Elephas maximus indicus: one gene and its partners. The protein of the gene in region 4 purifies or fractionates together with the protein of the main gene of each other region. This does not show direct contact. Links are inferred from orthologs where the notes say so. Each region holds a gene or a part of one and is shown on either strand. Other genes may lie near its edges. The genes, in order: CPSF4, CSTF2, CPSF2 and SYMPK.

Evidence for each region.
Region 1: the proteins of SYMPK (region 4) and CPSF4 purify together in Homo sapiens (affinity purification with mass spectrometry; 4 studies listed by BioGRID and IntAct, counting the BioPlex papers as one, with this or other methods). This does not show direct contact. The link is inferred for Elephas maximus indicus from reciprocal best matches to the Homo sapiens genes SYMPK and CPSF4.
Region 2: the proteins of SYMPK (region 4) and CSTF2 purify together in Homo sapiens (affinity purification with mass spectrometry; 4 studies listed by BioGRID and IntAct, with this or other methods). This does not show direct contact. The link is inferred for Elephas maximus indicus from reciprocal best matches to the Homo sapiens genes SYMPK and CSTF2.
Region 3: the proteins of SYMPK (region 4) and CPSF2 purify together in Homo sapiens (co-immunoprecipitation; 8 studies listed by BioGRID and IntAct, with this or other methods). This does not show direct contact. The link is inferred for Elephas maximus indicus from reciprocal best matches to the Homo sapiens genes SYMPK and CPSF2.

Annotation. Positions count from the first base shown.
Region 1 is NC_064830.1:102,872,824-102,880,300, reverse strand, and holds the start of CPSF4 (cleavage and polyadenylation specificity factor subunit 4), read right to left. Parts: upstream 3,012-7,477; 5' UTR 2,889-3,011; coding exon 2,786-2,888; intron 1-2,785. UniProt on the Homo sapiens protein: Component of the cleavage and polyadenylation specificity factor (CPSF) complex that play a key role in pre-mRNA 3'-end formation, recognizing the AAUAAA signal sequence and interacting with poly(A) polymerase and other factors to bring about cleavage and poly(A) addition.
Region 2 is NC_064846.1:57,411,812-57,419,462, reverse strand, and holds the start of CSTF2 (cleavage stimulation factor subunit 2), read left to right. Parts: upstream 1-4,631; 5' UTR 4,632-4,688; coding exon 4,689-4,746; intron 4,747-6,212; coding exon 6,213-6,291; intron 6,292-6,677; coding exon 6,678-6,847; intron 6,848-7,549; coding exon 7,550-7,651. UniProt on the Homo sapiens protein: One of the multiple factors required for polyadenylation and 3'-end cleavage of mammalian pre-mRNAs. This subunit is directly involved in the binding to pre-mRNAs.
Region 3 is NC_064828.1:105,689,943-105,696,919, reverse strand, and holds the start of CPSF2 (cleavage and polyadenylation specificity factor subunit 2), read right to left. Parts: upstream 3,001-6,977; 5' UTR 2,436-3,000; intron 1-2,435. UniProt on the Homo sapiens protein: Component of the cleavage and polyadenylation specificity factor (CPSF) complex that play a key role in pre-mRNA 3'-end formation, recognizing the AAUAAA signal sequence and interacting with poly(A) polymerase and other factors to bring about cleavage and poly(A) addition.
Region 4 is NC_064829.1:103,799,467-103,806,577, forward strand, and holds the start of SYMPK (symplekin), read left to right. Parts: upstream 1-4,102; 5' UTR 4,103-4,187; intron 4,188-6,753; exon of another isoform or gene 6,754-6,783; 5' UTR 6,784-6,802; coding exon 6,803-6,907; intron 6,908-7,055; coding exon 7,056-7,111. Other genes in the region: FOXA3 (hepatocyte nuclear factor 3-gamma), read right to left, coding at 3,082-3,150. UniProt on the Homo sapiens protein: Scaffold protein that functions as a component of a multimolecular complex involved in histone mRNA 3'-end processing. Specific component of the tight junction (TJ) plaque, but might not be an exclusively junctional component. May have a house-keeping rule.

The DNA of each region.
Region 1 (7,477 bases), on a different chromosome or scaffold from region 4:
AACTCACAAAAAAATACTAAACTTACTGGTCTGGCACAGACTGGAAAAACCCCAAGAGTATGGCCCCTGGACACCCTCACAGCTCAGTACTTAAGTCACTCCTGAGGTTCACCCCCAGCCAAAGATTAGACAGGTCCATAAAACAAACAACAATACGCATAGCTCAAGCATGTACATGAGACTAAATGGGCACACCAACCCAGGAACAAGGATGAGAAGGCAGGAGGGGACAAGAAAGCTGGACAAATGAAATGGGGAACCGAAGGTCAAGAACGGGTATTGACATGTCGCGGGGTTGGCAACCAATGTCGCAAAACAATACGTGTATTAATTGTTTAACAAGAAACTAATTTGTTCTGTAAACCTTCATGTAAAGCACAAAAACATCACCCACTGAAAATCCTGTGGAGCACAGTTCTACACGGACACACGTAGGATCACCATGAGTTGCGGTCAACTCGACAGTGCCTGGTTTAGTTTAACATTTCTGTCTCTCAGCAGACATTTTACAGTTGCTGAACATCCACCGACGGCAGCCCTAAAGCCCACTTCCATCCTCTCCTCGCTAACTTGCAGCAGATTCCTTGGCTTGTCCAGGACAGGCAGATCTTGCTAGTACAGTACAGGCTTAACACTGCAGAAAACGGGTCTCAAGGGAGACACTTTTTGTGTTTTAATAACTTTGAAGAGTCTGACATCAAAAACTCTGCATTTAAGGGCATTTCTGGGCCTTTGTGGTTTTCAGAGGTAAAGGCTTCATTCCTGAAAGCTAGAAATCCGTTCCTGGGACTGGGTCTCAGGCAGATGGATAAAAGATCACACCTTAGTGCAGGGCTGACAGCTCTTCCCCAGTATGAGGGGGAATGCCGTGCAGGCACGGACGGAGGTGGAGCCATGGCCTCACTGGATAGTCAGAGGGGGCTTTAACATGCTGAATGCCATCACAGACGGGCCAAAAACCAAAACCAAACCTGTTGCCACTGAGCTGATTCCAACTCCGAGCGACGCTATGTGACAGAGCAGAACTGCCCTGTATGGTTTCCAAGGCTGTAATCTTTATAGAAGCACATCTTTCTCCCATGGAACAGCTGGTAGGTTCAAACCGCACACCTTACTGTTAGCAGCTGAGTGCTCAACCACTGCACCACCAGGGCTCCTTCACGTATAGGCCGTGAGTACTAAAGGCACCTAGCAGGTCTGAGTCCCTGAACTAGGCAGCAGCCATGGCTGGGCAGAGACCGGACCTGTCCCTGGCCCACCCTAGGACAGGTACGTGGGCCCCTCACCGCTGTGCCTGCCCTCACAGACTCTCAGATCTGTGGTGTAGCTGGAGAAGGGTGGGGGAAAGAGCTGCCCCACACAGATGTTTCCACGGCCTCAAGCTGGTGTCATCAAGACAGAAAAGGTGTGGATGTGCGCGTGCACATAGGACGTGATCCCATGTCGAAGCGTAGGTAAGAGGGTGCGTGTGTCTGAGTTCGAGCGGCTGCTTTTAAGAGGTGTCCCACAGCGGTAGTGTTTGCACACGTACAAAGTGTGGCTGTCTGGCACAGGTGTCTCCAGGAGAAGCACTCTGTGGCACAGAACGATCAGCATGTGTGGGACAGAGGATCTCTGACTCAGAAGGTGACCTCTGAATGGCCACCTGAGGGGAGCGAGGCTGTAGGGATGTCCCCCACGGATAAGTGGGAGGACAAGGCCGCAGTACTCTGGCAGTGATGGGAGACCGAATGGGAAACTGAAGAGAAGGGGTGAGAAACGCCGGAACCCTCCCCTGGCTCTGCCACATCGCACTGTGTGGTCTTGGGCAAGTCCCCTCCCCCAGCCAGACCTCCGCTTCCCGATCTGTGGATTGAATCAGTAACCTCCAAGAGTTCTCTGAGTCTTAATATTATAGCATTAAATTTCCAGTATGCCCAGAAAGGTGAGGAGAGCAAAAAACGGTCAGTTCCTCTTGAGGTACAAACTATCCCGCCGGAGTTGGGGGAGAGGAAGCACTGGAGAGCCGGAGCCGCCCAGAGAAGGGGGACAGTGAAAGGAGATCAGACTGGCCAACATGAAGGGTCTGTACCAGAAGCCTGGGTGTAATGAAGGAACCAGAAAAAAGTGGGGGGCGGGCCCGGAATGAGGGATGGGCTCTGGGGAGGAGGTAGGCTTCAGAGACGGGTTTGGGGGATCTCCTAGGGAGAGGGGGGAGGTGGCCCTTCCCTCAGTAAGCCCCCTCCAAGGGCCCAATGTTTTGATGAAAATAAGAGAGTGCTCAGTGGGAGGTGGGCTCCTGGGGAAGGGGTGTCTTCTAGTGCCTTCCTGTAGTTGAGGGAGCGTTGGGGCTATTTCCAAGTCATGGAGAACCTGCCTTTGTTCAAGAATTATTTGGTCAGGCAGCACCCTGCTCTCCTGCAGATGACTTTAGGACAGCCCCAGGGGATGAGAGAGCCGAAGGAGGAGGACTCCTGGGCCCAGGTGGGAGAGAGAAGGGGGTCCCAGAACCAGGGGGAAAGAGGTCTCGGGACCGAGGGGGAGAGGGACCACGCGACCAAGCGAGAGGAGGAGCCCCAGGCCCAGGAGATCCCGTGACCGAGGTGGAAAGAGTCCCGGGACGAGGAGAGAGAGATCCCGAGACTCAGCGGGAGGGGGTCCTGAAACCAGGGGGAGGGGAACGAGGGGAAGGGAGCCCGGAGCCAAGGGGAGCAGTCCCGAGACAAGGGCGGAGAGGACCCGGGATCCTGGAGGAGGGGTCCTGGGTCCGAGGTGGTCCGCCCGGCGGCCCCGGCCCCGCACTCACTGTCCATGCCGGGGAAGGGCAGCGGCTGCGCCCCGAGCTGCTGCTCCACTGCGATCTCCAAGTCGAACTTGATGTGGTCCACACTGGCGATGATCTCCTGCATGGTGGCGGCGGCCTGCCGGCCCGGCTCCCACTCGACTCTCCAGCCGCTCACTCGCCCACCCGCCGCGGTCCCGCCGCACACGCGCCTTAGCCGCCACAGCCGCCGCCCGGGGCATGCCGGGAGCACAGCCCGCCGGCCGGGGCTTCACATGTCCAGACCGGGCCAATCGAGCGCGGAGCACGAGCCGCTCCGCGAGACCCGTTTAGTCGCCAGCCGAGCGCTCCCTCGCCTCGCGGCCTCGGAAATCGTAAAACTGCGCGCCGATCTCGCGACGCTGACGGCGTCTGTGCAAGGCCGGGCCGAGGCTTGCGACTCCGGGACGGAGAGCTAGGTGAGCGGCGGGGCGAGGCGGGAGCGACGCGGGCCGGGACCGGGAGACGCGGGGGGACGGGACGGGGAGCGACGCGGGGCGGGGACCGAGGAGGGGGCCGGGGCGAACCGGTACCGGGCCGAGGCGGGGACAGGACGACTGGCGACGCGGGGGCGGGGAACGTCCCATGAGGAACCCGAGGCCCTGAAGGCCTTTGTGGAGAGCGGTGGTAGTTGGCCAGAGGTCCCGTAGGCGTCTGGGGGTCGGTAGGTCCCTCCGAGGGAGAGCAGCGGCCGCGTGTCCCCAGTACAGGAATTATTAACCTGGGATCACTGTACTTGTAGGGAGAAGGTGACCCCGGTGATTTCTCTTTGTGAAATTTAGCATTTCTTTCCATGACGGAGGCAACAGACCAAAGTAGCGTATGCAGCGTCAGAGACTTTGTTATTTCAAAGCCGTGGTGTTAAATACTGTGGGAGATACCTGTAACCGCCACGTGGTGATACCTGAGCTGACAGTTGCCCTCGCGCCCCTTTGACCTTGGCATTTAATGTGCTGAAAAAGAAGCGTATATTCTGGAGCCATGGGTGGCGCACGAACCCCCAAAACTTTGCCCTGAGATAATCTTTAAACCTTGAAGTCTTCTCAAAACCAAACAGTAGTTGATTAATCAATAAAAAATGTCTGCCTTGACATGGATTGGACTGGACAATGGGTTGGAGAGAGATGCTGATGTGAGGAGTGAGCTACTTGCATCGGGGAGGGGAGATGGGAGGGTAGAGGGGGTCAGAAACTGGCAAAACGGTCACAAAAGGAGAGATTGGAAGGAGGGAGAGTAAGTGGGAGTATGTAGTAAGGTGTATACAAGTTTATATGTGAGAGACTGACTTGTAAACTTTCACTTAAAACAATAAAAATTATTTTTAAAAAATGTCTGCCTTAAGCATTATGTTCTTTTAAGATCTTTTAACTTGACATGCAAATCCAGTGCTTTCGAGTCGATTCCAACTCATAGCAACCCTATAGGACAGAGTAGAGCTGCCCTGTAGAGTTTCCAAGGAGCAGCTAGCGGATTCAAACTGCCAACCCTTTGGTTAGCTGCCCTAGCGCTTAACCACTATGCCACCAGGGTTTCCAAGTTGACATCAGCAACACTAAAGATTAGATAGGAACCTTAGGGGCAGCGAATTTATATTAATGGGGGAGGAACAACTTAGAAATGGAGGGTTGCACAACTCAAAAAACGTTATTTATGTCACTGGATTGTATATGTTGAAGGGTGTATCTTTTGCTGTGTATACTCTTAACAAAAAATAAAATTATAGGAAAAAGAAGCATATATGCTAGTATAGCATATTTGTTTTTTTTTTACCCTAGAAAATAAAACATAGTAATTTTACAACTCATTTCATGACAACTGGTTGATAATCACAGAATTTCTCTTGTTCATGCCCTCTTTAGCCCTGGTTCTTTTCAAGTTACTGCGCTAGTTATACTGTTATTTTTTCTGAAGTTTGCACAAAGATAACTAGATTCAGGGCCGTTCCCCACACAAGATGGTTGTATGGTAAATTAGACTTGGTTTGCTATCAGCCTGTGTAAAAGCCCTGGTGGCACAAATAGATGAGTGCTCAGCTGCTAACTGAAAGGTTGGCGGTTTGAACCTACCCAGCGGTTCTGTGGGAGGGAGACCTGGCCATCTGCTTCTGTAAAGATTACCTATTTAAAAAAAAAAAAAAAAGTTGCTACTGAGTTGATTCCGACTCAGCAACTTGGCCTAGAAAACCCTGTGGGCCAGTTCTACTCTCACATGGGGCCGCTGCAAGTCAAAAATTGACTCGAAGGCTCCTGACAACAACAGGGGAAGTACTAGGTTTAGGAACACATGTGTAGTCTTAATACAGTTGACCCTGCCCTGATTATCACAATATCAGGACAGCAAATACCTTCGTTTTAAAACATTTTTAGTGCATATTTTTTGATTCCATGTATTTTAATGAATGGATGTGAACACGTGATTCCGAGGAGTCCTTGGTTTCATCAGATGCTGAATTCAGGCCACCCTGGTGGCGCAGTGGTTAAGAGCTTGGCTGCTAACCAAAAGGTTGGCCATTTGAATCCACCAGCTGCTCCTTGGAAACCCTATGAGGCAGTTCTACTTTGTCCTATAGGATTGCTATGAGTCGGAATTGACTCGATGGTAATTTTTTTTTTTTCTTCCTGTGGTGGTCAGGTTCCTGGGTGGCGCAAATGGTTTGCACTCAGCTACTCATCGGAGTACAGCCAGAATGCTCCTTAGAAGTGAAGATGGCTCATGTACTTTGGAAGTGTTATCAGGAGGTACCAGTCCTTGCAGAAGGACATCATGCTTGGTAAACTAGAAGGGCAGCAAAAAAGAGGAAGACCCTCAACCAGATGGATTGACACAGTGGCTACAACAGTGGGCTTAAACACAGCAATGGTTGTGAGTGGTACAGTACAGGGTAGTGTTCTGTTCTTTTGTATGTAGGGTTGCTATGACTTGGAACCAACTTGACAACAACTAATCGAAAGGCTGATGTTTTGAACCTGCCCAGCGGCACTGCAGGAGAAAGGCCTGGCAATCTGCTTCCATAAAGCTCACAGCAAAGAAAACTCTAGGGAGCCGTCTTATTCATAAAATATGGGTTGCCATGAGTTGGAATTGACTTGATGGCAGTGGGTTTGGTTTTGAGGTTTTTCTGGCGGTGGTCCAGAGAGGCTGTCTAATATATTGCATGGACCTGAGGTCAAAGCCAGTCCAGCCTGTGTGCAGGCCCAGCTCACCCACAGCCCTGTTGGGGGACCTGGGCAGTCTGTTCCTATTGCTGTGCCTCAGATCTTAACCTGTTCAACCTACCATCCCTTCTGAGGTCCAGTGTTGACCTTCTAATATAACTAGACCTTGAAAATTTTCATGCCGGTGGTTCTGGTGTTTTCTATGGAAGTGTTTTTATTTTGTTGTTGTGGTTGTTTTATATATGTATATATACGTGTACGTCCACATATGTATACATTCTCAAAAAAGCCAAACCCAGTGCCGTCGAGTCGATTCCGACTCATAGTGACCCTATAGGGCAGAGTAGAACTGCCCCCATAGAGTTTCCAAGGAGCACCTGGTGGATTCGAACTGCCGACCCTTTGGTTAGCAGCCATAGCACTTAACCACTATGCCACCAGGGTTTCTGTATGTAAATGTATACATATATGTATATTTGTATGTGTATGTATTGTATGTGTGTGAAAATATATATAACGCAATGCACACTCATTCAGCATTTTCTGCCTGTACAGTTCCGTGACGTTGGGTATACTCTTTGCCTTGTATCATCAGTCTTGCTCTCTGTACTCATATTGTTTCACAACCAGTAACTTAAACTCTCTGTTTCCTAAACTTCTCTGTTTTTGAGTTACTGTTGTCAGTTTGATCTCATATAGGTATTTCTTTCAAAGAATGCACTGCTCAAAGCAGCATTCTTTACTGGTTGATCTAAACTGTTGTTTAGTTTGAAGATGACTTCATGGAATAGTTTTGGTTCACAGTTTAAAGGTTATCTTAGGGCAATAGATTCGGGGGCTCCCCCTGTCCCCGTGGGTCTAATAAGTCTGGTTCCTCTAAGAATTTGAAATTCTGTTCTGTATTTTTCCTCTGTTTGATCGGGATTTATCTATTGGGTTCTTGAGCAAAATGTTCAGTAATGGTGTTCGGGTACCATCCCGTTCTTCTGGTCTCATGGCAGTGGAGGTTGTAGTTCACGGAGGCAATTAGACCTGCAGTCCATTGCCTTCTGTTTCCTGGGTCTTCTTCTTCCTCTGCCGCCCCAGGCAGATAGAGACCAATCATTGTATGTTGGATGGCCACTCAGAAGACCTCAGGCACTACCTGCCAAACTAGGAGGTAGAAAGACTCTAAAAACAGTTATTAGGCCAATTGACTGGACAGACCCTCAAAACCGTGACCCTAAACCTTATGAAAGGGTTTTAAAGTAGTCAGGCTAGATTCTAACCCAGTGCTGACCAATAAAAACACGTTAACACCTATGTAATTTAAAATTTCTAAGTTATTGTCTCTGTTAGGTGCTGTTGAGTCAGTTCCAACTCATAGTGACCTTACGTAGAACAGAAACACCGCGCAGTCCTGCACCATCCTTACAATCATTGCTGTGTTTGAGCCCGTTATTGCAGCCACTGTGTCAGTTCATCTGGAAAGGGTCATCCTCTTTGCCGCTGACCCTCTACGTTACCGGGTGTGATGTCCTTC
Region 2 (7,651 bases), on a different chromosome or scaffold from region 4:
AGAAAAACAAATAAAGGGCACCCAAATTGGAAAGAAAGAAATAAAACTCTCCCTATTCGCAGATGATATGATCCTATACATAGAGAACCCCAAAGATTTGACAAGAAAACTTCTGGAACTAATAGAAAGACTCAAAAGACTAGCAGGATACAAGATCAACATACAAAAATCAGTTGGATTCCTATACACCAACAAAGAGAACTTCAAAAATGAAATCAGGAAAGCAATACCATTTATAATAGCCCCTAAAAAGATAAAATACTTGGGAATAAATCTAACCAGGGATGTAAAAGGCCTATACAAAGAAAACTACAAAACACCATTGCAAGAAACCAAAAGAGACCTACATAAATGGAAAAACATACCATGTTCATGAATAGGAAGACTCAAATGTCAATCTTACCCAAAGCGATCTACAGATATAATGCAATTCTGATCCAAATATCAATAGCATTCTTTAAGGAGATGAAAAAACTAATCGCCAAGTTTATATGGAAAGGAAAGAGGCCCCAGAAGATAATGCATTATTGAAGAAAAGGAACAACGTAGGAGGCGTCGCACTACCTGATTTCAGAACCTACTATACAGCCACGGTAGTCGTAACAGCCTGAGACTCGTCCAACAACAGAAATATACTTGAATGGAACAGAATTCACAAGCCAGTTGTAAATCCATCCACCTATGGTCAGCTGATCTTTGATAAAAGGACCAAAGTCTACTAAATGGGGAAAAGACAGTCTATAACAAACGGTGCTGCCAAAACTGGATGTTCATCTGTTAAAAAAAGGAAAACAGGGCCATACCTCACGCCATACACAAAAACTAACCCAAAATGGGCCAAAGACCTAAATATAGAACCTAAAGCAATAAAGATCATGGAAGAAAAAATAGAGACAACACTAAGGGCCCGAATAAACACTAAGGGCCCGAATACATAGCATAAATTCAGTATAAACCATAACTAACAATGCACAAGCAGCACAAGATAATCTAGAAAACTGGGAGCTCTTAAAAATTAAACACTTATGCTCATCAAGAGTAAAAAGAGAACCTTCAAACTAGAAAAAATTTTTTGGCTACGACATATCCAACAAGGGTCTAATCACTAAAATTTATAGAATACTTCGATGCCTCAATAACAAAAAAACAAATAACCCAATTTAAAAAATGGGCAAAGGAGATGAACAGACACTTCACCAAAGAAGACATTCACCTGGCTAACAGACACATGAGGAAATGCTCATGATCATTAGCCATTACAGAAATGCAAATCAAAACTACAATGAGATACCATCTCACCCCGACATTACTGGCACAAAAAAAAAAAACAGAAAATAACAAATGTTGGAGAAGTTGCAGGGAGATTGGAACTCTTACGCACTGCTGGTGGGAATGTAAAATGGTACAACCACTATGGAAAAAGATATGGCGCCACCTTAAAAAGCTAGAAATAGAAATAGTGCAGTCCCACTCCTAGGAATATATCCTACAGCAAGGACCTACACGCACACATTCTTCATATAGTCCAGCTTCTCAGAGTATTCGCTCAGCGTACGGATGGAATAAGTATGGTGAAAGGGTACAAGCCTGATACACGCCTTTCCTGATTTTAAACCAATCAGCATCCCCCTGTTCTGTTTGAATGAATACCTCTTGGTCTGTGTACATGTTCCTGCAGTATGATGGATTGCTTTTGTGTGGCCTTTCTTGCCATGGTCTTATAACTCCCACCCAGGTGATTGGGTGGGACTGTGTGATAGGGTAATTGTGGCCCTCCAAAGCAATTGGTCAGTTTTGCCATCCTGCTGGGCTTGAAATGAGCCACTCCAAAGGCGGGAAAGAGGATCCCAGCGCCACCAAGGAAGAACAGCCAGGAGCCAGCTCTGGACCCATGATCCCTGTGCTGAGAAGCTCCCGGAAGCAGGAGCCGAGAGAGAGAGAGAGAGCTATAACCCTGAAGATGGTGAGAAGCGGTGGCAGAAGAGAAGCAGTGGAAGGAGAGACCTCACAGCAGATGTCACCACGGTCTTCCTGACCCACAGAGAGAGAAAGCTGAGCGCCTTTGGGCAGGGGCCTAGCACAGGGAGAGGTGTGCATGTGAACATGGCTGGGAAGAGGCTTTCCTGATGGAAGAACTGTATCCTTGAGTTTTCCTGAGTCTGAATTATAATCTGTTACTTCCTAAATAAACCCCATAATCATGAGTATGGTCTGTGAGTTCTTTGTAGCCATTGCATTGAATTATCAAACCCAGCAGAAAAGTAGAGAGTTTTGTGGGAGGGATGGTTGGTGTCAGAATTGGTAAAGATGGCAGAGAGAGGAGGCATGCCTGACCCCCACCTCATAGGAATCAGCCTTGGACTGTTGATCTTGGTTCTCCTTCCTCCTGGTGAAATTTGAGGAGGTTAGACACTGTCCTCACACTATTTTTGCAGTTCCTCATGAGCACAATTAAGTGTTCCGGAACTTCCATTCTCCAAAATGTTATTCATAATTTGTTATGATCCATACAGTCTTTGCATAGTCAATAAAACACAGGTAAAATCTTTGTGGCATTCTCTGCTTTCAGCCAAGATTTATCTGACAGCAGCAATGATATCCCTCATTCTACATCCTCTTCTGAATCCAGCTTGAATTTCTGGCAGTTCCTTGTTGATGTACTGCTGCAACCGTTTTTGACTTACCTTCAGCAAAATTTTACTTGTGTGCAATATTAATGTTATTGTTTGATAATTTCTGCATTTGGTTGGATCACCTTTCTTTGGAATAGCCATAAATATGGATGTCTTCTAGTCAGTTGGCCAGGTATCTGTCTTCCAAATTTCTTGGCATAGACAATGAGCACTCACAGCATAGCATCTGCTTGCTGAAACATCTCAATTGGTATTAGCTTTTATTATTACTAATTCATTGGTATCACCTGCACAGTTATAAGAAGGCTGAAGTATAAGTTATCTATGCAATGCGAGCAATGCAACAGGATCTTCAGATCCAGGATCCATTTTGGTCTAGTATTGCTGATACTAACAAGGGTATTAAATTTTCAGTGTTTCTCAAGGGGAGAGAGTTGGCATCAGGTAGGGGGAGGGATTCATTGTATAGGGCTGTGCTGGACTTAGAAATACATCTATTATCTCTGGTTCCCTCCCCCCACAAGTAATAGCACTCCCTCAGCCATTACAATAACCAGTCTGATACACTTCCAAGCACCTTCCTCCACAAAAGGGTAGTTCTAGGTTGAAAACTAATGTAAGGGCAATTTTATAAGAAAGCATCATTAAATGTTGCCATAAAGCTACCTCAATAGGTACAATGCGGTCCAAATTACTTGACCCTAACAATCAAGGGCAGTTGATTAAAAATAATTATTCTCAGATTCCTCCCCTAGAATCCCATTCCGTAGGCCTGGGGTGGAGATCCAGGAATTTCTACTCTTCAGCACCCAAGGTGAGCCTTTTGCTCATTCAAGTTTGGGAAACACTAGGTGAGAAAGATACTGAGCCACACACGCATTTATACAAAGTTCACCACACTGGGACAATGGCTCGCCAAAGCTCTTTGAAATCTTGTTTGGAACTATTTTATAACACAAGGTGTTTTCTTGATCACACAGTAATTGCAAGTGGGAATCTGGAGTCATGGGAGAACTCTTCCAAAACTTTTTATTTTGGCTCATATTATTACTTTAAATGACATGCTCCACGGTGTAAAGTAGCTTCATTTATTTTTACCAAATATTCCTCATACTTCAAGCAAGGATCTACACACACACACACACACACACACACTTCTAATCTATCTGGGATTAATAAAACGTCCTTGTCTCAAATTCTGTAGATATTTTAGCATCTCTGCCTTCTTTTTTCGGACAAAAAGTCCGTCAAAGAGAGTGCTCTTGATTCCTTCCTCCAACCCTGGCAGGCTGTCTTCCTGTGAGGTGGCAACTAGTCCTGCATGCCATATTCCAGGAGCGCAAGCACCAGAATTTGGTACCAATGGTCAATGATGCTTTATGTTGTTTACAATCCCCTGCCTGTCAGTGTTCTCTCCCCTCGCCCCCTACCACCACCAAGCATATAGAGCCCAGGGACTACACGAGAGCAGACACGGGACTGTTCTCCTTTTAACTCTCCAACTCCTCAGCTATCTTGGCAACTTGGCGTTAAGCGCCCCTCCTTCTCTTCGCTGGCAAAAGTCTCTTCCCTAAGCTCACTCTGTACACTCGCAACTTTAGCAAAATGACAGCAGACACGCTTCTGAGGCGGGGCAAGCATTTCCCTCCCTTAATAAGGCGGAACTAAAATGAAAGTGTGCCGGTTGTTGGTAAATGAGCTCCCTGTTACCATGGTAAAAACCGCTGCTGCCATCTTTATTGTGGTCGATGATACCTCGACTTAAGAGATAATGAGTAACAACAAGAATTCTACAGACTAAAACCTTCAAAGTCGCCTGGATCCGCCATCTAGACCAGAACGATATTATCTGGCGGTAGCCAGACGACGAAGGCGTTGTGCCACTCACGGCCCTAACGAGAGCTTGCGGATGACGGAACGACGCCTGGGGACGGGCTCTGCGTCCGCCGGCCCAGGAGCTTCCGGCTCACGCGCCGTACGGAAGCGAGTTCCGCGCTGGGCTCACGCGCCGTACGGAAGTGTGTTTAGCGCACCGGAAGCCGCCTGAAGAGAGCGATGGCGGGTTTGACTGTGAGGGACCCTGCGGTGGATCGTTCACTACGTTCTGTGTTCGGTGAGAGGAATTCGGTGGAGCCCAGCGTCTGGGAAGGGCAGGAAGAGGCAGGGAACGGCGAGGAACGCCCCCTGCAACTCTCCCACCTCATGAACCGGAGCCGGTGATAGGTCGGGCGTCGAGCTCTACCTGCTTATCCTGTGGGCGGTCAATCTGGTAGATTTGTAAGCAAACAGATGCTTCCCGTACCGCGATGTCCCGCAGCCTTTCTGCGATATTGTTGAGGGAGTTAGGCGAGCGTTCAGCTTCTATGCGTTTCTCCTTTCACGAGCTTCAGTTATTATCTGGAAGCGAGAGCGCATGGCGACAGTCCCTCACTGTCCCGTACTACCTGCTCACCCCCTATTCCAGAATGCAAATTAAATGCTGAGGGGGTAGATCCCTATGTCCACTTTCCGCCCTCTGATAAGGATTTTCTTTCTCTGCTTTTTACCGGTAACATTGCAGTTCATCATAGTGGTAGCGGCCACCTGGTGTCCTGAGGTGGATTATAAATAAATGAATGAATGAATGAATGAATGAATAAGACCTCGTCGAAGGAATTCTGAAGAGGATTGAATCTATTCTGAGTAAATTTTTCGGCCGAAATAAGTTGTTTTTCAAAGCATGTGTGGTGATTTTAAAGCACTTTTTGAAAAGGAACTTGACAAAACAATTTAGAATAATTTTTAAATATACTCCACTGCATTCTTGGACTTTCCTAAGTGTGTGTGTGTGTGTGTGGAAATGCAGACATTTGAGCTTGTTATAAAAATTATATTTTCAGTAGTTACCAACACCCAAACTCATTGCTGTCAAGTAAATTTGGGCTCATAGCGACCCTATAGGACAGAGTAGAACTGCCTCACAGGGTTTCCAAGGAGCAGCTGGTGGATTCAAACTGCTGATCTTTTGGTTAGCAGCTGAGCTCTTAACCACTGCACCACCAGAGCTCCATTTTTCATAGTGAGAAATAACACTTGCAGACTTTCAGGAAAATACCTATGCCTTAGTATTTATTTTCACTGAAGTTAAGGAAAATCTAACACTTGTCATATAAGTCTGAAAACTAACATTTAGGAGTGCCTACACCTTTTTTGGAAACCCCGGTGGCGTAGTGGTTAAGAGCTACGGCTGCTAACCACAGGTCAGCAGTCCAAATCCACAGGCTCTCCTTGGAAGCTCTATGGGGCAGTTCTACTCTGTCCTATAGGGTTGCTGTGAGTTGGAATCGACTCGACAGCAATGGATTTGGTTTGGTACACCTTTTATTGAGTTTCCTCGGTGGTTTACTTCATTTTTGTCAGCAGATAAGATTGGAATCTCGTCTGAAGGAGTTCCGTGGAGCAAGGATTTGAAGAACACTGTATTTTGAGCCAATTGTTACATACCCAGTGATATAAGTAGATAATGTACTGTTTACATTTTCACTAAAGACCTAGGTTACAAACTCAGGATTTTAATATGTCACGTATTTTTTTCCTTAGTGGGGAACATTCCTTATGAAGCTACTGAAGAACAGTTAAAGGACATCTTTTCTGAGGTTGGACCTGTTGTTAGTTTCAGGTGAGGTCCCCTTCTTTTGCCTCTTAGTAGGGGGTTTCTTCTTAAAAATTGCCACAAATTTGGCCATTAGGAATAATGAGAAGTTTTTTTTTTTTTTACTGGTGATGTTTTACATGCATTCTTTTTTTTTTTTAGGGCAGCTTTACTGAGGTATAATTCACATACCATACAATTCACATGCATTCTTATCTAAGAGATATATATATTTTTTTTTCATTTAAAAAAATGCTTAAAAAGATTTTAGTGAGGCAAAGTCAGAATTGTAAAGTTTTATCCTATGGTTGGCCAAATTAGAGAGTGGAAATGCTAGCAAGAACCCTGTATTTGTAACATTTGTGTCCGATTATTTGTAACATTTGTGTCCGATACTTGGTTCTGTTCACCAGGTTGGTATATGACAGAGAGACAGGAAAACCAAAAGGTTATGGCTTCTGTGAGTACCAAGACCAGGAGACGGCCCTGAGTGCCATGCGGAACCTGAATGGGCGTGAATTCAGTGGTAGAGCACTTAGAGTAGATAATGCTGCTAGTGAGAAGAACAAAGAAGAGCTGAAGAGTAAGTATAAATTCAGGTTTTATGAAATACAGGTTAGTAAAAATGTAACAGTGAAAAATTTCCATTTAGAGTGTATTCTAGAATATGCTGGAGTAGTTAGCGACACAATTTCTTTATTTGATTGACTTGAGGAGCCTGAGTTATGGAAGTAAATATCTTTGAGAAAGAAGGTAGAGTTGACATTGAGAGTCCTTCAGTTGCCAAGAGGGGAATTGATTTCCAGCTAGAGGTGAAGTTATTCAGGCTCACCAAGCCATCAGTAGGTGCGAATCATGTTGTTAGCATTTGCCACTCATATGACTATATTGTCAGATCTATAACTGGTGGGGTAATAAGGCATTCTTGTGTTTTTTACTGTGAAGTAATAGATCCAGAAATCCCATTTTTAAATTAACATCTTTTTTCTGTTTAAACCTTTTGCTAGTGCAGCGTTTTGTCAAAAGTTCATATGCCTAGTTTCCTACCTTAGTTTAACTTTGTCCATCTATGTGATCATGGTCCCCTTTTTCCTCTGAGAACAGAAAATACACTCTGTTACTTGCCTCCACAGAAAGAAAAGATTAGCAAATCACTTATTTGACAGTTCCGGAGAATTTTTAAGTTATCAACTGGTCCTTATGGTAGCCCTGGAAAATAGATACTTGAAGTGATTTAGCCCTTTATCTTATCTCCTTAACTTTCTTGTACTTTATTCCTGACCAGGCCTTGGCACCGGTGCCCCTGTCATTGAGTCACCTTATGGAGAGACCATCAGTCCTGAGGATGCCCCTGAGTCCATTAGCAAAGCAGTTGCCAGCCTTCCAC
Region 3 (6,977 bases), on a different chromosome or scaffold from region 4:
TTCTAACTCACAGCAACCTTATAGAAGTGGAGACGGGCTTCCAAGGAGCAACTAGTGGATTTGAACTGCCGACCTTTTAGTTAGCAACCAAGCTCTTAAGCACTGAGCAACCAAGCCTCGTATGTACTTTTTTACAATTCTTTGACCTCAATTCATGAGTCATTATCTAAGCAACTGAGTCTTGAAACTCTATATCTTTTATTCCTCCCTTTACTTCTTCTTGGATAGTCTGTCATCAACCTCTGATTGTTTTTCCCCCCAAAATGCCTTGCACGTGTACCACTCCCTTCCCGTTCCTACTCTCAGTACCTTAATGCAGGGCCTCTCTACCTCACACTTAGGTTTCTCTGTTTCTCTGCCTCCAGCCTTTCCTCCCTTCATCTCTACCTAAACACTGCTGCCAATTAAACCTTCAGAAAGACTCCTGCACATACTACCCCTTGCTCAGAGATCTCTGAAGGCTTCTTACTGCTTGAAAAAAACAAAACTAATGCCTTAGCTGGCAACTGAGGACTTCAGCAAACTGCCCAGACATCGCTGCTCACCATCATCATCTCAAGGCCCAGATTCAATTCAATGGCAACGGGTTTGGTTTTTTACAGTTACCAATTTGCCCATCATTAGTCTTGACTAGTAGCTCTGTCCAACAGAAATATAACACAAGCGACATGCAGCTTAAGATTTTTTTCATAGCCACATTGAAAAGGAAAAGAAACAGGTGAAAGAGATTTGTTTACCCCAATATATTCAAAACATTATCATTTCCACATGTATTATTTAAAAATCATTAATGAAATATTTTACTTTTTTTGTTTTTGTCTTTACTGCCTTCAAAATCCAGTGTGTATTTATACTTACAGCACATCTCAATCTGAACCAACCACGTTTCTGGTGCTCAAAAGCTACCTACATATGCCTTCTGTCACAGAGCAGGTCTAGACTCTAGACACTGAAGTCAATGCCAGAGACTGCTGGGCACTGTTCTCCGCCACTGCTGAAGTGCAGGTCGGCACCGTTCTATTTTTATGTACACATTTTAGACTTGACTTTAATGGTATCACCAACGACTTAGGCTCACAGACTAAAACTCTGGAGTCACTCTCCTACCATCAAATTGACACTTCAGAAATGTCTCTTATATTCTTAATCAGAAAAAAATAACCCAAACCCGATGCTGCCGAGTCAATTCTGGACAGAGTAGTATAACTGCCCCGTAAGGTTTCCAGGGTGTAAATCTTTATGGACACACGATGCCACTTCTTTCTCCTTCAGAGTGGCTGGTGGGTTCAAACTGCTGACCTTTCAATTAGCAGCTGAGCGCTTAACCACTGTACCAGCAGGGCTCCTCATATTTTTACTGCCCTACAATTGAGGCATTTACTATTACCTTACCTGAATAACTGCAACTTTCTCTCATTTAGTTTCCCTGTTCCAGGTTGATCCTCCACACAACTGTCAGAGAGACTATCCTCAAAAACAAATATTTTCATGTCCCCTCCTTGCACAAAAGATCCATGGGATTCCTGTTAACTATTGAATAAAACCTAAAGTCCTAAGGTGGAAATCAAGGCCCTTCACGAATTGATAACCTACCTCTTCCTTCACCAACCACCCTTGAACTGCATGTTCAAGTACATTTATTGCCCCACTCTAAGTACCTAAAACTTCTCAAGTCTCTGTATCCCTGTACTTGTTACTTTTCCAGGAATGGCCTCCCCTGGAGTTTCAGAAATTCCTCTTGACCCCTCACCACAAAAGTGGAATATTAGCTCCTTGCCACCCAGGAAAGACTAGTTATTTTTACCTAGCACAAAGTAGGCACAAAAAACATTTGTTGAATGAAACTGAATGCACAGAGGAGTAAAAGTGTTTGTCTTTTCTCTCCAAGACCAAGCACAGTGCCCAAAACAACACAAATGTGCGCTAAAAGAATCCTCACAAGATCATAAATGCCTTCAGTGCTGTGAATTTGGTCGATACGACTTCATCCCAAATATGTATCAGTTACTTGCTCTCTCAATAACGACCTTGTATGCTGAAAATGACGACTAAGGGGAACTATGCAAAATCCACAGAAAAAAACAAAGGGGTGAGTTCGGGTTAGTACTGGAACTCATGGGGTGCGAAAGTCTCTTTCTGGTCAATTTCAGAAGAGCAGTGGCTTCACAACAGGATCAAAGGGACTGTAAATGAAAATCCAGGGGATAAGTAAATGGTAACTCAGGTGTGGCTGATCACAGGAGGCCAGACTTGCCCGTGACCTCCTGTTTTCTAAAGAGCATGTTAAAATCACACAAAGTCAAAAAGAATGAGGTCTTAAAATACTGAAATGATAGGAGTGAAAGCGGTCGGGGACGGTGGAGGGCCGAGACAATTAAGAAAGCGCAGTAATATCTTTAAGAACTTCGGAGTCAGTTAACTAAAAGGACGCCTACTTCGTGCCCAGTGCTTAGCAGACTCGTAGTCTCTCGTCCCGACACGACGGGAAGACTCCGAGCGAGGAGGCTGACAACACCGTAGCCACGCGGAGGAAGAGCTAACCGTGGCGCCGGATGAACGCCTCCAGCGCCCCAGACAGAGGAGAGGCAGCGCCAGAAGGAGGCACGGGAGTGAATGGCACAGCCTGACACAAAGGAGCCGCCACTTTCAGACCCACGAAGAAATCACTTCTCGTTCCCTCGCCGAGCGCTTCTGCCAGGAGCGACCAGGACTGGCTCAACCGAAACTCCGGGAGCACGTCCCCGAGGGAGGCTGGGTCGGAGTTGGGGCCAGGCTCTCCCTGAGGGCCGAGGACGCCCCCTCCCTCATCCAAAGGCTCACTCCTTTCTTTTGCCCTCACTTGCCTCGTCAGTCCTCCCCCAACGCCGTCCACTGCCCTTCCCAACCCCTAGTCGAATCCAGGTTCGAGAGCTAGAAAAAGTGGTGCCCGCTCAACAGCAACTGTGACGATCCGCCGACAGAAGCCCCTCAGCGGCGGCCGCCATCTTGGAACTGGAGGGGAACGGCTGAGGCCGGGGAGACTCAGGATTATACCATCTCTGGGGGGGGAACGAAACTCTAGGAAGGAGAAGGCACTTACACCAACAAGTCTCGTCACCTTGGGCTGAAATTCTATTTCAAAATTATTCATTATGTTTGAAAGCTGAAATAAATGTGAGAAGAGTCACATGCGAAAAGGAAGAAGGGGTATGACTTCCAGATGCTACCCCCTCTCTTCCGTGCGGAAGCGGGAAATGGTAGAGCCCGACGTTGCAGCTTCCGCCGGCGCAGGCTGCTGAGCTCGCGGCTGCCCTTGGTCTTGGGATCGTTGTTGGTACCGCAGGTGGGTGCGTGCCGGGTCACGGTTGTGCTATATCAGTAGGGGTGTCTTCTATGACAGCCCTTGGCGGTGATGGGGTTGGTGGTAGTGGGGTGGCTGAGTCTCTCCGGGGCGGGAGCGGCCGGGCTTCCGAGCGACGACCTCTTCTTCTGATGGACGCCTACGTTCACGTTCTCCGCCTGGCAGCTTTTGGAAGGGGAGCTCTGAGACTGTCATAAATGTCATAAAGGCCGGAAACGTCTTGAGAGATCACCCAGTGACCTCCCCCTCGCTGGCTGAAGACCGAAGCGGGCCAGGGTTCTATGCCGAGACGGAAGTACGGGTGGAGTGCCTCTGCGACCATCTCAGATTTGGCCATTGTCGTTAGTTAGGATTGGAAGCTGTTCTCACTCTCTTTCACAAAATAGGCACTTACCCTTTTACTTTTTAAAAACTCAGTATTTAATTTGCTTTTGGTTTCTAGGTTGTGTATGCCATTAAGATAGTGCTCCATATCTCGAGTTCACATTCTCGAGGTTAAGTCGGCACTTTGTGAATACTACATATAAAGGGCTGTAAAAACCAGTTAGAGAGTAGAATATTATTTCTTAAAAAATAAATATCTTTAGTGACATACAAAAAATACTAGATACAACTTTTGTTTTTAACCATAACCAAAACCAAACCTGTTGCCGTCGAGTCGCTTCTGACTCATAGCGACCATACAGGACAGGGTAGAACTGCCCCATAGGGTTTCCAAAGGAGCGGCGGGTGGATTCGAACTGCTGCCTTTTGGTTAGCAGCCAAACTCTTAACCACTGTGCCACCAGGGCTCCTTTGTTTTTCAAGAAGTGGGAATAAAATTGGGCTAAAGAAAAATGAGATAGAATGAAAAGTGTGGTTAATTAATACCAGTGCTTACCTCTATACTTACTCTAAGAGAAAATCTGCTTTATTGTAAAACACAAGTAAAGAGCATAGACACAAGAGCCAAAATGCCTGGGTACTAATCCCAGCTCTGCCACCTACTGCATCTGTGACCTTAGACAAGTTATTTTATCATTTGTCCTGGATTTCCTCATCCTAAAAAAACATAGGGAACAGTGTGGGTATTATATGAGTTAATACAAATATAGTGTTGTGATTATGAGCTGATGCATATGAAAAACAGTAAGAACTATGCCTGACACAGAGTGCTATAAAAAGAGTCTGCTATTGCTAGAACCCTTTGCTGTCCAATTGATTCTGACTCAGTGACAGAGTAGAGCTGCCCTGCAGGGAGCAGATGCTGTATTCAAACTGCTGGCCTTTTGGTTAGCAGCCATATTGCTAGAGATGGGCAAAAAAAACCCAAAAAACTGGATCATTTTGGTATGGAAGGATACATGATCAGGTACATGATTCCTGCAGTCCGTGAGATAAAAAAATTAATTTTTTTCGGGAAAGCCATAGCTATTTTCAGATCTGAAGTAAAAAAAAAAATGTTTTTCTTGAAGGTACTCATAAAAAAGACACTAATTTCTTGTACAGTGTAAGCATCTGGATAATATTAATGGTAAATACAATGGGTTACAGAGGCCTATATCTGATAATGTATGTTAATGTTGCCATATGACAGAATGACAGGTTGCAAATTAGTAAAAGCACATACACAGCTATGTCACAGGCACGTGTGTGGATGTCCCCTACAGCAATTGGTTCTTTATTTTCTCCCCTGAGTCATCCTACTGCTGATCCTCCCTTATCCAAAACCTGGGCTTGCCTCACTGGAGCCTGTTCCCAGTCCTCTTTGTCCCTTCTCCATCAGATCAAGCTCACTTATGTCTTGGGCCCAAGAACCGGAGCACCTGGCTCCCCTTCCCTACAGTCCACTTTCCATCGTTCTAGCTCACTTACGTCCATAAAGCTTTGTCATCTCTAGTTATCCACTCTCCATAAAACAAAGCGTGTTCAGTGCAACGACTCCCAAAGTCTACTAAATTCTAAACTGTACAATCAGAATAAAATGTCTTCCTCCAATCCTGAATCCCCATTCTTCTTCATATAGTCCAGCTTCTCTGGTTATTTGCCCAGCATAAAGAGTGAATAAATATGGTGAAAGCATACAACCCTGATACACCCAGATACCTTTGGCATCTGGGATTTCTAGAAGAGCCTAAATGCAGCAAGAGCCACAGAGCCTTGTCTTATCTCTTCTGCTGGGAGTAGAGCCAGACAAACCCAATTCCTTAGGGTCTGGTTTCCCTCCCCGAAAAAAAGTACCAGCCGTGATGGCTTATAGCCCACAGGTGACCATGGGCTTATTTTAGCCAGTCTTGGGCTAGGAGTTAACAAGTACTTTTTGTTGTTGGTTAAGTGCAGAATAATATCTAATAGTCAGCTGTGCTTAGGGTAGAATTGATACCTCTTTCAAGGTTACGTTATTTGACTAAGGTACATGTTGTTATCCCCATCGTTGATTGGCTCAATTTTATAAAGCAAGTAAGTTGAGACAGTAAGTACTTGGTGGGCACACTTGGTCGGTATCCACTAAAAAGTAAGTATTCATCAAAATAATATTTAGAGATCTAAATGCAGATAACACTATTTAGTGCAGGCACAATACCAAGAGAACCACCATCTTATAGAAATAAAGTCAGATTGGATACATTTACGTTTGTATGTCCAAGTACCACTTACATCAGAATCAGCTGGGGAATACTTTCAGCTACAGATATTTCCAGCCCCACCGTGGAGGTAGGGCCAAGGAATCCCTATTTTTGAAAATGGCTCTACATATGATGTGCAGGCAAGTTTGAGAACCCCAATTGTAGACAGTAAACTAAAAATATAAAAATAATTGGTGAGTAAATTATATGCTTTAATTATCTTGTAATTTACTTACCTCATAATTTTCTAGACCAGTGATATTCAAAGGAAACCATTGTGTAATACTGCCCTTTATGAAATATATAGTAATCGTATGACTTTAACTTCATGGTCATTTCCTAACCCAGTGCCTGGTACATAATGGGTATTTGATTAAAGTTTGAGAAATTAAAGAATTAGAATTGTATATGTGTGAGAACCACTGTCTTAGGAGAGGCAGGAAATTCCATCTACGTGATCCAAGCAAATTTAGTGCTAAGCACTTTTGTTGGCAGAAATGTACTACTACTCTGAATAAGGTTTTGTCATGTCTTCTCAACCATTGCATATGATTTATTCATTTTAGGCTATTTGCAAATGAACATATTTAAATTTCATCTTTATGTACAGAATTTTACCAAAAAATAACAATTGGACCATGTTGTTATTGAATTAGTATGCATTTATCTTCCATATGATGACAACTGGCTCCCCTATTCCTCCTCCTCTGCCTTTGGGAAACTCTTGGAACTTAAAATCAGTTCAGGGAGAGGCTTCTTAGAGAGGTAGTGCGATAATGTAGGAAGGAGCCAGAGCTTTGGAGAGGACTTGAATTTGAATTCACCTCTGCATTTAATAGCTGGGTTTAAGCTATTTGAGCCCCATTTTTCTTAGGTATAAAATAATAGTTATTTCACACTATATGTCTTGTTCTTGTTAGGTGCCTTCAAGTTGGTTCTGACTCATAGTGACCCTATGCACAACAGAATGAAATACTGGCTGGTCCTGTACCATCCTTATGATTGTTGTTATGCTTGAGCTCATTGTTGGA
Region 4 (7,111 bases):
CCATGGCTTTCTGTCTCTCTCCCCCACTCCCCTGCCACCTCCCATCTCTTTCTCCCTCAGAACATCTTGGTATCTGTCTCCTTCCCTCAGCATCACCATTGCCCCAAAAGTTCAACACTGAAACCGGAGCCAAAGTTACTTCCCTCTTCCACCCACTGTGTCCCCCTGGTTGGCTGGCTCTGCCCCCTCCCCAGAATAAGGAAGGCGGGTCCTTCAGAGATGAAAGGAGGCAATGAATTCAGTGGGATCCAGAGAGAGTTGGGGAGGGATTTCTAAGTCCTTTTGCCACCCGCCCCCCCCCCACCAATTCTCTAACTCAGCTAAGTTCTTGTATAGCAGAGTAAGACAGACTGAGACCCTAGGGCCCTCCTTTACTGGCTTTCCCACCCACCAGGAAGTCCTCCTTTAGGTCTGACCTCAAGCTCTGTAGTTGCCCTAATCCACCCTAGGCTTTCCCACGCCCCAGGGCTGAGGTGAAGCCCGGTGTCCGGGTCTAAGCCGGATCTCCCCCGCCAGGGTGGGGCTGAGATGGGGGGAAGCCCTCAGGGGACCTGCACCCCCACTGCAGGAGGCTAGAATTTCTTCCCTTTCATTTCCTTATTGTTCCTGAGGGAGGGTGTGACGGGAGCAGAGGTAGGCAGTGCAAAGCCAGAAGCCTAGTGTCCAGTCCCTGGCCCAGCCCTGGGCTTCAAGCAGCCCCCAACACTCCTCTGGGCTTCAATTTTCCATCTCTAAAATGGGGGAGCAGTGGATCAGCTGATCTCTAAGAACCTGAGGCCAGTAGGGGTGGACCAGGGGTGATAACTTTCCAAACTCTCTTGACAGGGAGCCAGCCTGGGGGTATCAACATCACCCCAGCAGGAAGAGGTGGTTTGAGGACCCTGTTGGTTGCTGGGTGAGTGTAGGTATTTCTGGCCCCATTGTTCCGGCCCAGAGGGAAGGAGGTGGGTTAATCTGATGGGAGGGTTTGGGGAGACTCCCAGACAGTACCCTCCAAACCATTTCCAGCTACCCATATGTGGACTCTTCTAAAATATGCCCCCAAACTGTCCCCAAATGTTGATCCCCTCTGGATTGTCCTTCAATTTCTGAGTTATCTAGACTGTCCGTGCAAATTGTTCCCCTAAACTTGGATCCATCCAGACTGCATCCCAAATATTGATTCCCCCAGCATAGACTCGCCCACAAACTACTTCTAAGATGTGCCCCCAAAACACTGATTAGTGGATGGTCCTCTTAAGCCAAATGCCTAGACTCTGAGCTCTCCAGGAGGCCCGGCTAGAATCCCCCCACTAGCCAGGAGCCTCCACTTCCCACCCTGGTCTCCACCTTTCCCATCTCACCACTGACACCTCTAGCTGCCCCGCCTCTACCTCTCAACACTCCCAGCCCCTTCCCCAGCTGGCCCTTCCCTATCCCACGTGCACTTCACACCTCCACTGCCCCATGACTGGCCCCTCCTAGGCACACTGCCAGGCCCCACAGGTCTGGGGATCCAGGAGACCCACCCTACAGCTTCAAACCCCAGACCCAGGACTCAGGCATGCTGGGGCCCACATAACCCCCAGATCTCAGTCTCCCTGGAAAACTCAGCCATTCCAGCCTCACATCCCCACCTCAAGCTTGCAGTTTCCTTCCAGGTTAGGAACACAAGCATCCAGACCCCGTAACTCTCAGACTAGGATCCCCTACTCCCAGGTCTCACAATATGGACTATAAAAAAAACCCAATGCCGTCCAGTCGATTCCGACTCATAGTGACCCTATAGGACAGAGCAGAACTGCCACACAGAGTTTCCAAGGAGGGCCTGGTGGATTCCAACTGCCAAACTTTTGATTAGCAGGCGTAGTTCTTAACCACTATGCCACCAGGATTTCCATGTGGACTATAGAGTGAGTAAAGAAAGCAGCAGGAATCCTTGCAACAAGGGGAACAGTAGTTAGACTTGGAGAAGGACTTCTTGTCTCCTGGCCTGAGGGAATTAGGATAAACCCCCACCCACAAATCCAAGGAGGCCTTGTCTAAAATCAGACTGGATGAGGACATTAGCAATTGCTGGAGGTTGCTGGGGGGCAGGGATAATCTGAAACCCTCCACCCTCCAAAGAGGGGAGTCCCTGCTAAAGGACTCTAATAGCAGTTAAGTTCAGCTGGGAGGGGCTGCGAGTCCTGGGGAAGGATGGGAGGATGGAGATTGAAACACACCCTCTAAATACCCGCAAAGGTGATGCCCACATCTATCCGAGCCCCAACTCTAACCTGTCTGTTATCTCGGACCCCCAAAAGAAAGCTTCATCTCTGAACACCCCCATCTCGTACTCCTGAGTGCCAACCACTATTCCTGGCCCTATCTTAGATGGCCACCTTGATCCTCATTCCTGAACCCCCAACTTTACCACCATATTCTAAACCTGAGCTCCCACCTCCAAAACCTATTGTCGTCCAATCGATTCGGACTCATAGTGACCCTATAGGACAAAGTAGAACTGTCCAATAGGGTTTCCAAGGCTGTAATCTTTACAGGAGCAAATGGCCAGCCAGGTCTTTTCTCCCGCGAGGCAGCTGGTGGGTTCAAACCTCAGGCCTTTCCATCAGCAGCAGCAGCTGAACGCTTAACCACTGCGCCATCAGGACTCCTTGCTCCCACCGCAAACCTCCCTTAGTGGTTTCTCCCTACCCCCAGCTCATTATCTTTCCTCCAACTTTGAACCCCATTTCCTAATTCTTCAACTCTGTCCGCTACCCTGGAGCTCGGATTCCTATCTTTGGTTTGTTCATTTTAATCCCTGGGATTTCGGGTCCCCAAAACCCAGCCTTCACGTTTAAACTATGACCTGACCTTTGCCTACGTTTTCCTGACTCTTATTTGAGCCCTCACCCCGGCTCGCCTGCCGAAGCCGCGAGTCCATGCCTTGTCCCCTGTCCCGGATTCGCACACCTGGTTTTCGTGTCCCCCGTTCCTTGTCTCCCCAGTTAGATGCCCCGGTCCCGTTTGAGCCCACGCGCCTATCCCTGTCCCCATTTAAACCCACACCCGGGTGCCTGCCCCCCACTTCCCGCTCCGTCATCCCCGAGGACACACCTCGCCCGCCTCGGGGTAGTAGCTCCACTCGGCCAGGTCATGGGCCTCCATCTTCACCGAGCCCAGCATCCCCGGGGCCTGCGCCCCCACCCGCTCCCGTTCCGGTCCCGGGGGAACGGAACACTTCAGATCGCTCAGCAGGAACGGCCCGACTCCGAACGGCGCCTGCCCGTCCGACTGCCCGGGGTCCCCGCCGTCCCGGGCGCCGCGGGAGGCGGCCACGCTTTATAGCCGGGACACCCCCGCCCCTCGCCCGCCCCGGACTGCCCTCCCGCCTCCCCGAGGGCGGTGCGCTCGGCCTGGGGCGCCCCCTGCGGGACTGCGAGGAGAGAGACCTCAGGCGCCGGGGACCGCATTCCGGGGACGCGAGAGCAGGAGATGGCTGAAGAGTGAGGGAGCTGCCGGGGTGAGACCCTGCTGATATTAAAGGCCCCGAAGGTACAGCTCTGGAGCACTTCTACCCGAGGGGGAGGGACATGTTCATCACCTCGACAAAAGAGAACCAATATCCAGAGCCCAGCATGGCAACGGCGGAGGAAAGGGGCGCAGCGCGCAGGGCGCTCTAGGGGTACCGATGTACCACTATCAGGACCCTTAGCAGAGCCTGGAAAGCGCACTCCCAATGTACAGATGAGAATACTGAGGCTTCCGACGGCTGGAAATGTTCAGACTGGAAAGAAAGGGTCAGGGCTAAGGATGGGGAAACCGGGCCTCTGATCATACCACACTAGGACAACAGACCACCTCGAAGCTTCGCCTCCGGGATTCTTTAAGCTCTCCAACCCCGCCGTCCAGGGACTCGGAACCACTGGGAACTCCATTTCCCAGAAGCCTCTAGCTCCCTTTCCGCCCTGTGCCTCTACCAAGGGACTACATTTCCCGGAAGCCTGTGAGGGGCGGTCTCAGGGCACTCTGGGGAAGTGAGGAAGGCCGCTCGCGCCGCACGAGGTAAGGGCGGGGTCGGGGCGGTCTGGACTCCATTTCCCGGCAGCCCTGCGTGCGCAGCGCGTGCGCAGTGTCACGGCGGCGAGGGAAAGATGGCGTCGGTGGCGTCTGTGAGGAGGCGCTGCTGAGGGGGCGCGAGGGGGACGGAGGCCGGAGCCGCGGTGAGCGGGGGACGGCCTGGGGGCCGGGGAACGAAGGGAGGAGGGGCCCTCAGGAGGCGGGGGCGCTGGGGGGCCGCGACAGGAGAGGGGAGCAGTGGCGTTCGGGACCCTTGTTTCTTCCCCTGCTCAGCACCCTTCCGTGGCTCCCCAGTGCCCTCAGGGCAAAGTTCCAATGTGGCCCCCAAAGCGCGCCCGCCCCGCCGACCTCGCCGGCTTCCTCGCTGCCTTTTTGCTCACCCCCCACCTCTCACAGCTGCACCGGCTTTTCGGTTCCTCAAACTTGCCGTGCAGCTCCCCGCCTCATGGCTTTTGCACATGCTGACCCTTCTGCCCGCAGTACCCTTTTACCCATTCTGCCTGGCTAATTCCCATTCATCCTTTGGGGCCGGGCGCAAACGTCACTTCCCCTGCGTAGCACTCCTGGGGAGGATTTTGGGTCGACTTTGAATGAGATGTGGGAGTGACAGGCAGCAGGGAGCATAGGCAAGAGGCTGTTTACTCAGTTTACTTATGTGGTGCTGCTCTAACAAATGCCACAAATGGATGGCTTTAACAAAGAGAAATTTATTTTGTCCCAGTCTAAGAGGCTAGAAGTCCGAGTTGAGGGCGCCAGCTCCAGGCTTTCTTTTTCTGTCTGTTCTAGGGAAAGGTCCTTGTCATTAATCTTCACCTGGTCTAGTAGCTTCTCAACCCAGGGACCCACTCCCTTTCTGGTTCTTCATTCTTGATGCCATGAGGTCCTTCTGTCTCTTTGCTTGCTTCTCTGTCTTTTATATCTCCAAAGAGGTTGACTCAGAAGACAACCTAATCCTGTAGATTGAGTCCTGCCTCATTAACATCATAGAGATAGGATTTACAATGCATAGGAAAATCACATCAGATCACGAAATGGTGGACAGTTGCACAATACTGGGAATCACGGCCTAGCCCAGTTGACACACGTTTTTGGGGAACACAATTCAATCCATAACTGTAGTCATTCATTCAGCAGACATCTATCAAATAGCTACTCTGTACAGTACATAATGTTCCTTTTTAAAAACGTATCTTTTTTGCCCTCCCTAAATTCTGTTCCCCTGAGGTGATTATTGCTAATGGTTTGTGGACTGTTTTTCAGCTCTTTTCCCGTGTAGGTAACAATAGCCATACTCATCTAACATTTACTACATATACTAAGAATAGCCTTGGCAGTCAGGCACTGTTACCATCCCCGTTGTACAGAGATAGAAACTGAGACCCAGAGAGATTAAGTTTCTTACCTCAGGTTATTCTGTGAATACACACGCAGAAGCTTGGCAGAAATGGATTGAATTGCACGTACTGTTTTGTGACACAGCAGACTGTCGTAGACATCCTGTCCTGATAGTACATGAGATCCGCCACTTTTTTTTTTTACTGTTTTCTCCCACTTACGGTTTTTGGTTTGTCTTTTCAGTTTGTTGTTTGTTTGCTTTTTTGTATGTATATATGTATATATTTGTTTTTATAGAAGTGGAGCATATGGTGATAAACACCACCTTCCTCTTTACTTCCTTTAACTTAATATAACACAGGAGTCTGCTCCCCATCAGTGTATAAAGATTTTCTTTATTTCTTTCTTTTTCCTCTTAGTCCTTTTTCCAGTGGCATAGTATTTATCATGTGGTTGTATCATAATTTTTCAACCAGTTCCATTATTTAAGAACGTGTGGGTTGTTTCTGGCCTTTTGCTATTACGAATAGAGCTGTCATCGAGATCCTTCTACACTAATCATTTTATGATATTACCAGTATAACTTTGGGATGTTATTGCTAGCGGCCGTCCAGTCAGTCTCCAACTCATGCTAACCCCACACACAATGGAACAAAATCCTGCCTGGTCCTGGCCACACACACGATTGGCTGGGAATCGGACTGTTGTGATCTGTAGGGTTTCCGCTGGCTGATTTTCAGAAGTAGATAGCCAGGCCTTTCTCTCTGGTTCGTCTTAGTTTGGAAGCTCCACCAAAACCTGTTCAGCATCTTGACAACACATAAGCTTCCACAGACAGGCAGGTGATAGCTGCGCATGAGGTGCACTGACTGGGTATCAAACCCAGGTCTCGCTCATGGAAGGCTAGAATCCTATCACTGAGCCACCACTGTCCAAAAGTCCCCCCTCCCCTCCCAGCTCCATAGTATTCCAGAGAATAGCTGTAATATAACCTCTTTAACTAGGGCTTTTCTGATGTATCGGGTACCGACTGTGGGCAGGGCTGCTCCATGATTGGAGTTCCTCAGAGCTTTGTTTGAGAAAGTCAGGAAGCATGGAGACCAGTAAGGTGGCTTCTGTGGTTCATTTGGCATCCAGCCATTCAGCAGATGTTCTGGTCTGCTTGCTGTATATAAAGTACTGGAGCTGGAACTTGGGGACCTGCCTCTGACCTGGAAGTCCATCAGGGAAGGCGAGTGACATCAGTCTCCCCCAGATTACAACCACCATGCACACGTACATGTAGTCTGGAGTAGGCCGGGACTTTGGAAGGCAGGACAAGGAAAGGACAGGCTGGGGAAGTGGGTTGAGCCCTGTGTTGGTGATGGGGTGTAGGTCAGCTTGACCCATCCCCTTCTTCCCCAGGGGATACCTGACAGCAGCCATGGCGAGCAGCAGTGGGGACAGTGTTACCCGCCGGAGTGTGGCCTCTCAGTTTTTCACACAAGAGGAGGGAGCAGGCATTGATGGCATGACCACCTCAGAAAGGGTGAGTGTGGAGAGAAGGGCTCGGAGTTGGGATGCACAGCCCTGGCTTTCGGCGGGCCACCCCCACCCCCAGATCACAGAGCCTTGGGAGTGCCAATGGGCTAGGCTGGCAAGGCCAGCACCACCCCCTGCCTTTCTTTCCCCTCTAGGTGGTGGATCTCCTGAACCAGGCAGCACTGATCACCAATGACTCAAAGATCACAGT